Coturnix japonica: one gene and its partner. The protein of the gene in region 1 interacts with the protein of each later gene in a pairwise test. Links are inferred from orthologs where the notes say so. Each region holds a gene or a part of one and is shown on either strand. Other genes may lie near its edges.

Region 1 (4,372 bases):
TTGATAAAGAAAACCTATAACTCAACATAACATTCACTTACACTTGACTGGACACAGGGGTCCAGCACAAGCGAGGAATAAAATGTCTATAACTGTCTTAATATTGTACTGATCTCAAAGTCAGCTCAGAACTGGTTAATATAAATACTGCCCTGGATGTGTCCATGCTGCTGCTGTGAACTATGTAGGCTTTCAGCAAAGCCCAGTGTGTCTCAGTGAAGGCTCACTAAGAACCATACCTGCTGGGGAGGCTTTTGATTTCTGGTTTCCTTTCTTGGCTGCTGGTAAAGGATTGTCCAGCTGGGCTGAGAAACACGGTGACTCCTGCAGCTTCTGAGCTTTCCTTTCCTTTAAGGGTGGACAGAGAGATTTACCTAGCCAGGAAAACAAAAGCACTTATGAGATCTCAGGATCCAGTCTCACATACTAAACATTACTCCAAACTGAGTAATTGTTCAAATAAATCCAAGTCAGGGTCCCACATGGAAACTCTTAATTGCCAGCATGTGACATGCAACATCTGGGAAAGCCCCAATGATTCTTACTCCTTCTGACCTTAAACTCTTGATGTCACTGAAGCCAGAAAGCTGTAGAAAGTAGGAACATGTCTTTGCTTTTCAGTTTCCCTGTTTCATTATTACTACACTAAATGTGCATCAGCAACGAACACGGCTGTATTTTCTGGGTGTAGCAACATTTGAGTGCACCAGCATCTGCTACTAAGAAAGAACCTTTTCCAGCAGAACACTGGAGCACCACAGTCATAGAAGTTGCCCCATTTCAATCAATCCATGATGCCAATAACAAAACCATTTAGTCTGTACTGAAAGAAACAACCTGTACAGGAATATAACAGACCATCATTCCTTTTTGCTACTCAGTTCCCACTTCAGATTATCATCTGCCTATAATTTACACATTGGGAAGTTAACAAATCAGAAACTCATTTAATTAGTCTTGTTACCAGAGGCTTTCTGCCCAGGGCCTGAACTGGACTGCTGCCCAATGGCCGTCTTCTGCAGCTGCTCCTGCAACATCTTCATCTGCTCTTGTAGTTTTCTCAGCTCAGCTAAGAAAGAAGAAAAAGGACAATAATGAGGACAGCAGTAAAAGCCACAGTAAACAGGGATTAACAAAATCCTGGGGAGCCTGGCAGTATTACTACATCACAGATTAGGAACAAAAAGACTAGAGCTACAGGATAGATTTAGCTCTGATTCTACATGGCTCACAGGGAAGGGACAGCTTTCCATGCAGCCTAGAGCTGACTTATATCAATATTTAACTTTTTTGTGCTATATTCCTTGACATGTTGCGTGTATCTTCTCTAGTGAACACAAGACCATTTAAAAGATGCTGTAATAGAAACCTTGTAATTCTTCATTGGTTTTCTCTTCCCCCTGATTGGGAACTGAAGCTGTGACAGTGTTTTCTGCCTCCTCTTCTTCCAGCAGGTCATCCACATCTCCAAACAGCTCAGCCAGGTTCTCCTTCTCCTCATCAATTATGCTGTTGTCAGCGTCCACCTCCTCAGTGTATGATGCATCATCTTCTGCATCAAAGAGCTCATCATACTCATCTGGTTCTCCCTTCTCAGTCTTCGAGGTATCTTCCTCCTCAGGAGAATTCCCCTCTTCAGCTCCCTCATTTTCCGCCAGGAGGGAGACCAACAGATCCAAATCTTCATCACCTGAAGTAGAAATTAAACTCGGTTTTACTTCTATCCTTTTAGAGGAAAGCTGCTACAGAATCAAACATTCAAGTCACTGTCTTGAATACGCTTTTTGCTCAAGAAAGTGAACAGAGCAGCAGAGAAACATGAAGCAAAAGGTCAAAAAGCTTGAAGAGAGTAGATGTAGGTTGGATTTTTTCCTTGTCTTTTACAGTGAGGGTGGTGTGGCACTGGAACAAGCTGCCCAGAGATGTATTAGATGCCCCATCCCTGAAGACTTTCAAGACAAGGATGGATCAGGCCCTGGGCAACCTGATCAAGCTGTGCATATCCCTGTTCATTGCAGGGGAGTTGGATTAAATGACCTTTAAAGGTCCCTTCCAACTGAAAAGATTTGATGATTCTAAAAACAGGGAGAGGAACAGGACAGACAGAGCGGAGATACATACATAGAGCAACATGAGAAAGGTATTCAGCCTTTGGCCCTGAGGAAGACTCAAATGCAGCCTCACAAGAGGATGAGGGTGATGAAGGCAACAGACACAGCCAAAGGGAGCACAATATGATTTCCTTTGTTAAGAGGCTAATGGAGCTCTCTGCACTTGGTCAGAAAGCTTCCCTACTGAAAGTAGGGCAGTGCTTTTATCCCTTACCATCCATGATCTCACCACGATTCCTTCCACAGCCCCCCGAGGCAAAACAGACTCTGTCACAGAACAAATGGATACCATTGGAATGGAGATCACCTACAAACGGAGGCCAGCACCCTCAGTAGATCACTACACTCTCCATCCACAGCTGCCCACAAGAACTTTAATCCACAAACCTATTCCCACACGCGCAGCCTGCCTTGATCAGAGCCAAATGCAGCACAAGGGCACAACATGGAGAATAAATCCTCACCACAGGCCGATCCCAGCCCCCCATCCTGGGATCCCTCCTTCCTTCTTCCACCAAAGGATTCCCTCTTCATTCAGCCCGATCTCCACATTCAAGGGATCCTCTCCATTCGTACCCGCGATCCCATTAACCTCCTTCCCTTTCAACCCTGATCCCTCTAAGGCTCGGCCGCTCTCCCCTCACACACGGCCCCCATCTCCCCTCACAGAAAGCCCGACTCTCCCCTCACAGAAAGCCCGACTCTCCTCACAGCCCCGCTCTCCTCACACACACGGCCCCGATCTCCCCTCACACACGGCCCCCATCTCCCCTCACACACGGCCCCCATCTCCCCTCACACACAGACCCGCTCTCCTCACAGTCCCACTCACCGCCTCCCGCCTTCCAAGCACCCGCCAAAACTCCAACCCCGCTCCGCCCTCCTCGCTCATGCGCGCCGTCACGTCGCTCGTTGCGTCGGCGCCATCTTTAGTGCTGGAGGCGCGGGCGCCATCTTGGCTGCGGGTTGTTTCTCCACAGTGATGCTGTGGAGACTGAGAGCCCTGATGGTAGGCGAGCGTTCTGTTTTAGTCTCTTTCAATTGTTAATTTCCCCTTGTAATGTGAATTAAATCACCTCAAATTGCTCCTAGGAGGGTGAGCTCACGTCATGAATTTGCAGTATTAGATTTTATCTTTCTATGAAGACCTACCTCAGCTCACACCCATGTCTTCCTGTTGGTATTCCTGTGCTCAGATCCTTCTCTGACTGAAGCCTCTTAAAATGATTAAGTTTGGCTTGACAGATGTATAAGTAATTCCTCCTTTGGCCTTTCACATCGATTTTCTATGTTTCCATTAAGGTTAATGCTACTCAGATGAAATCAGCTCTATTGTCATTCTATTAGTTTGATTTTGGCCTAGTAGCATTTCCATCAGTTTTTTGATCATTGCGGAATCTATAACTATTGCAGAGCTCCCGTAATAAAACTGGATGCAAGGGGAAAAAAAGCCCATAAATCCTGCTGTCGTGAGGAACTAATTAAAAGTCAATAAGAGATTGCATCTTCTGGGAGTGCTTGTAATTGATGAAGAAGGGTGCAACCAAGCCAACAAATATCTCCTCACAATAGATTTCAGGCAGCTCTTCCATTAGCTGAAATTATGGATGAAGCTGTGTGGGAGCGTGAGCTATAGCTAACAGAAAGCAGGCATTCAGCTTACAGCAGATAATTAGAACAATAGTGACAACTGCAACAATAAAGACAAATCTTTGCTTTAATTATTAGGGCAATAAAGAGATGTTTTTTTCTTGCTACTGGTAGCTGAGAGTTCACTGACAGCACGGCATGAGAAATGCTTGCCTTCACACACTAAAATAGAGTGAAGGAATATTTTCTTTGCCCCAAGGAACACCTACAGATGTGTTGTTTTTTTGTGTGTGTATTTTAAGAATATTAATCTGCTCGGAGTGAAATATAAATCTCACAGTATTTAGAGCTTTATTTGGAATGAATCAGCTCAGGACTATTTTCATTGTCAGGTCTGAAGCAAAATACCCAGTCGGTGAATTTTTTATTTCTAATTCCACTATTGATCTGTTCAGCGTTTTCTTCTCCTCCATCATCCGCAGGACAATTTAGAGAAGTGCTTATTTATTGAAGCAGGTTGACAGGGGAATTTGTCATGTAGCAGTACAGAATATCTGCTGTAACAGTGCACATTCAGTTGTGGTATCCAGCATCCCTAAGGCTTTCTCCTATAGAGTTGTTCCATTCTTCTTAGCTCAAGATCGCAAGATGACATAAGCTATATATATTAC
Region 2 (4,395 bases), on another chromosome or scaffold:
GAGGAGGTACAGAACATTAATGCACTCAGGTGTCATCAAATCTGGAACTGCTTTGAAAGCTAAGCTGCTAACAAGTGTAGTAGGTAGCATCTGCTTGCAACCATCTGACTGCCTGATGAATCGGGTGTCTTGGGGAAGCTTAAAAAGATTCACAGGAGTCACGGTGCCAAATGTCAAGTCAAGGAAAAGCACTCAGGACACTTAGATTCTACTCAATGCAACACATTATCGTGAGATGTGATGTGCTGAGGATCTGGCAGAGTAAATCCACGTGGAAGAGTAAAACACTACAGATCCAAAAAAGACACCTCTTTTCATACTTATATGAAACAATTATGAATATATGTGATAGGAGACTGACAAAGGATTGAATACGTGGGTTTTCAGTGGCTTGTTTACATATTAAATATCACACAATAAAACTCTTTAGATTGTATTTGTAATTTCCCACACTTCAAGTCTTCAAAGAAAGAAAGAAACTATTTGCAGAAACTCCAGTGCCTTTTCTCAAGGTCTTTTCTTGATGTTGACACTACCAAAATCAACAGTCTCCAATGAGCAGCAGCAGCAACACCTTTCAAACACCACAAGAACATCACCTCGTCATTTGTCACCCCCTCATTCAACTTCACCACTGTACCTTTTGGAAGTCAACAAATCTTGATTTGTTTGTGTCCAGCAGGAATCTCCTTCTGTTGGCACAGACTGGGTTTCTGCAGATGTTTGGCTGTGTATACTTAAATTGCTGTTCCACATCCTTAATCACTGTCTGGCAGTCCAGGCAGAGGAAGGTTCCACTGACAAGCTCTGGATGAACTGGGTGGGTACGTACCACCTGCCCACTGATACGCATCAGCGAGCCAATTTTGGCAGATGTCAGTTCTCGAATCCTGTGTAGAACAGAAATTAATTCCAGACTAAATTCCTAGTCCAGCTGACATTTCAGACCCAGAGCACTCACGTAGGAGCAGCTCACTATGTAACAAAAGAACAATTGCAACAGGCAAATGAAACAACATAAAGAAAAACAACTTCCCATTTTGTCATTTTACATACTTGTAGATCAACATTAATTACACCATTGGCACTTCAAAAGCAACACATTATACCAGATTTTAAATGCAAAAGTTTAATCAGCTCGTCAGTATCTGCAGTCACTTTCAGCCCAGCATTTGCATGATTCACAAATGAAAAAAGGTTACATAAAATCATGCATCTTCTTCATTATTGTATGGATAAAGTGCACCTTTTATGCTGTATAATGAGAACATCTTCAATAGCTTTTGACATCTTTTTTCCAGAGGTGAGAATATACGAGTTTCTAGGATTAATAATCATCTTACTTGTGTCTGGTAGGAAGATCCTGAAACGCGACATAGAAGTCCTTGTTTGCAGGAATGTTTCCATGGTCTCTAGCAAAAGTCCTCACTGCTCGGCAAAGATAAGGATAAACCCTGAAATAAAGAAAACAAGTTTGATTTCCATATTAGATATCAAACGCCTTTTTCACTTTAGACTACATCACAGGCTTGTATCATACATTTGCAGGTTCTGGCTTTACAACAACCCTATGAAAAAACACAAAAGCTCATCTAAATATGCTATCAATGAGATTGCTGTGTTATAACTACATTTTTTAATTAACTGTATGAGAAAAGATTTTTGAGACCTTATTTTATGGCACTTTTCTCCTTTTATTAAACAGCAGAGCCTCAAAATAAGCCAATATAATATTTGCAGAGCAATAAGCTCCAGAGCTGCATTCTCATTCTGACCATCTATTTCTTTATCAGAGTAAATACAACCTGTACGCTTTACCTGTAAAATTCCTCCTGAACAGTGGTAGAGAGCTGCTGATTGAACTGCTCCAAATCCACAAAGCTCACGGTCAGTGTGTTACGCTCCGGCCGGATCAGCTCCTCAGCATCACGCAGGTATTTGACCTCCCCATCACTATTCTGGAATCTGAAAGCAAGCCAGGGTGAATGACAGTAACACGTAACAGAGCGGCAGTAATAGATCAGACAGCAACCAAAAACTTCTGGATTCAAGACAGAAGAGTGGCACTCCCCATCCCCTCACAGACATCCCTTCCAGCAATATTTTCTCCCAAGCAACAAGCCATAGGACAAGAGGAAACAGCCTCACATTGCTGTTTTGGGGTTTAGGGTTTAGGTTGGATTATAAAAACTTTTTTTTTTCATTGCGAGGGTTGTGAAGCATTAAAACAGACTGCAAAGGAAGCATTTGAGTCACATCCCTGGAGGTATTTAAGAACAACAAAGAGGTGGTGTTTAAGGGCGTGGATTAAATGGTTTTAAGTTAAAAGAGGGAAAATTTAGGTTGGATGTTAGGGGGAAGTTCTTCACTAGGAGAGTGGTTAGGCCCTGGAACAGGCTGCCCAGGGAGGTTGTGGATGCCCCGTTCCTGGAGGTGTTCAAGGCCAGGTTGGACGGGGCCCTGGGCAACCTGAGCTAGTAAAGGTGTATGTTTGGTGGCCCTGCCAGGCAGGGGGTTGGAACTACATGATCCTTGAGGTCCCTTCCAACCCGGCTCATTCTGTGATTCTGTGTGAATGGCAGCACGAGGTTAATGATTACTCTTGATCTCAGGATCCCGTTCCAACGCCAAGTGTTTTCCCTCTGCCCGCTATGAACACGCCGGCACACACAGGCCGGCCCCGCCTCCACACCTCGACAACAAGGCCCAGAGCGGCCTCACGACGTTACCACAACGGGCGGCAAGCCGGGCACAAAGCGCCTCAGAGCTGGGCCCGAGCTTTTCTCACAGGGACGGTGGAGCGTGGCCGCAGACCCCGACAGGAAACCCCCCCCCCATCCGCACTCACTCCTCGAGAAAATCCTGGAACAGCTTCTGGCACTTCTCGGCCACCTCATCCCGCAGCTGCTGATGCTGTTGTACCGCTCCCGCTCCGCCGGCCGCCACCGCCAGGTCCATGGCTATGGCTATGGCTATGGCTGCCGCTGCCGCCCCGCTCCCGGCCCTGGCCCCGCCCGCCAACCTTCGCGCCACAGCCGCGCTGACCAATCAGCGGCCGCCGTCTCTCAGAGTCCCGCCCTCCCGCCCCGCGTTTCCTCTTCCCTCTCGGGCGTTTTCGCGCCAAAAGCGAGCGTCTCCTCAGGGCTGCGTGGCGCCCTCAGTGCGCAATGGTGAAAGCGATTAAATGCAGCGTTTTATTTTTAAAGATCTCAGTGAATATTTGATATGGAGCCTTTGCACAGTGCTAAGAATCACAGAATTACCCGGGTTGGAAGGGACCTCAAGGATCATGTAGTTCCAACCCCCCTGCCTGGCAGGGCCACCAAACATACACCTTTACTAGATCAGGTTGCCCAGGGCCCCATCCAACCTGGTCTTGAACATCTCCAAGGACGGGGCATCCACAACCTCCCTGGGCAGCCTGTTCCAAGGCCATCTGCTCTCTTCTAGTTCTTCCTCTTTGGAAACCACCCGTAACAGGAGTCTGAAGGACTCCCCAAGTTTTATCTGGAAACTGAAACACAAAGAGCTCAGTATCTTCCCTAGGAAAGATCCTGCGGGGGAAGCCTGTCGGTTTCATTCTATCTTCCTTTTGTTATCAGGAAAGCCCTGAGGGGCAGAGATGAGATGGTGAAATTACTGGCGCAAGCAGTATGCGAATGAAGCATTTTGCCCTCTATGTAAAAAGAATAGCTGACTAAACTGAAGCACTTATCACACGAATCCAAATCAGAGAACAAGCTTTCAAGCTTCAGAAGATGTCTGCAAGAATCTCAGTTGGTTTTGTTCCCAGACAACTTGAAAGGAACTACAAAGTGTTATTTGTAGTGAAAACATGCACGATTCTGACTGAAGATTTAAGTTCCCATAAACTAAGGGAATTGTATCTGTGCATACATCTAAGGACAGGAAGTGAGATAGTTGTTAAACTATCCTGCAATAGGTGATGGAAATCAAGGACTATACATGTTTTCCTAAACTATGAAACCAGAACTGCTAACGATCAAAACAAGACAGAGTTCTGAATTACTATTTGCCGAGTTTTAACCAAGTTCTAGCAATGTGCAGCATACACCGAAGCATCCTGTTCAGATGACAGTCTTGACAAATGCGTTTTGCATTTTGATTTATGATCATAATTATTTTCAGTTGGCTGAGAAAAACTGCATGAAATGATATGGCATACAAAGGGAAAAGAAGGGATAGGGGCCTCCCAGAGGAACTGCAGTTCTTTTGCAGCTACTGAGAATAAATCAAACTAAAATATGAGCTCAAGTAACTTAATAGAATTGGGATAAGCACAATTGTTACAGGAGTACGTGCAAAACCTGCTGCCACATCTAGAGTAATGAACATAGTTGTCAGAACTCTGTTTTTTTGTTGGCATGAAATGAA

What was found.
Region 2: the proteins of MCM10 (region 1) and MCM6 interact in binary tests that used the Homo sapiens proteins (3 or more experiments, as listed by UniProt). The two-hybrid records come from large-scale screens. The link is inferred for Coturnix japonica from reciprocal best matches to the Homo sapiens genes MCM10 and MCM6.

Annotation. Positions count from the first base shown.
Region 1 is NC_029516.1:5,991,591-5,995,962, reverse strand, and holds the start of MCM10 (protein MCM10 homolog), read right to left. Parts: upstream 3,050-4,372; 5' UTR 3,004-3,049; coding exon 2,940-3,003; intron 2,749-2,939; exon of another isoform or gene 2,576-2,748; intron 2,379-2,575; exon of another isoform or gene 2,377-2,378; coding exon 2,326-2,376; intron 1,691-2,325; coding exon 1,370-1,690; intron 1,070-1,369; coding exon 965-1,069; intron 375-964; coding exon 240-374; intron 1-239. UniProt on the Homo sapiens protein: Acts as a replication initiation factor that brings together the MCM2-7 helicase and the DNA polymerase alpha/primase complex in order to initiate DNA replication. Additionally, plays a role in preventing DNA damage during replication.
Region 2 is NC_029522.1:27,852,021-27,856,415, forward strand, and holds the start of MCM6 (DNA replication licensing factor MCM6), read right to left. Parts: upstream 3,022-4,395; 5' UTR 2,959-3,021; coding exon 2,849-2,958; intron 1,966-2,848; coding exon 1,819-1,965; intron 1,455-1,818; coding exon 1,344-1,454; intron 891-1,343; coding exon 641-890; intron 1-640. UniProt on the Homo sapiens protein: Acts as a component of the MCM2-7 complex (MCM complex) which is the replicative helicase essential for 'once per cell cycle' DNA replication initiation and elongation in eukaryotic cells.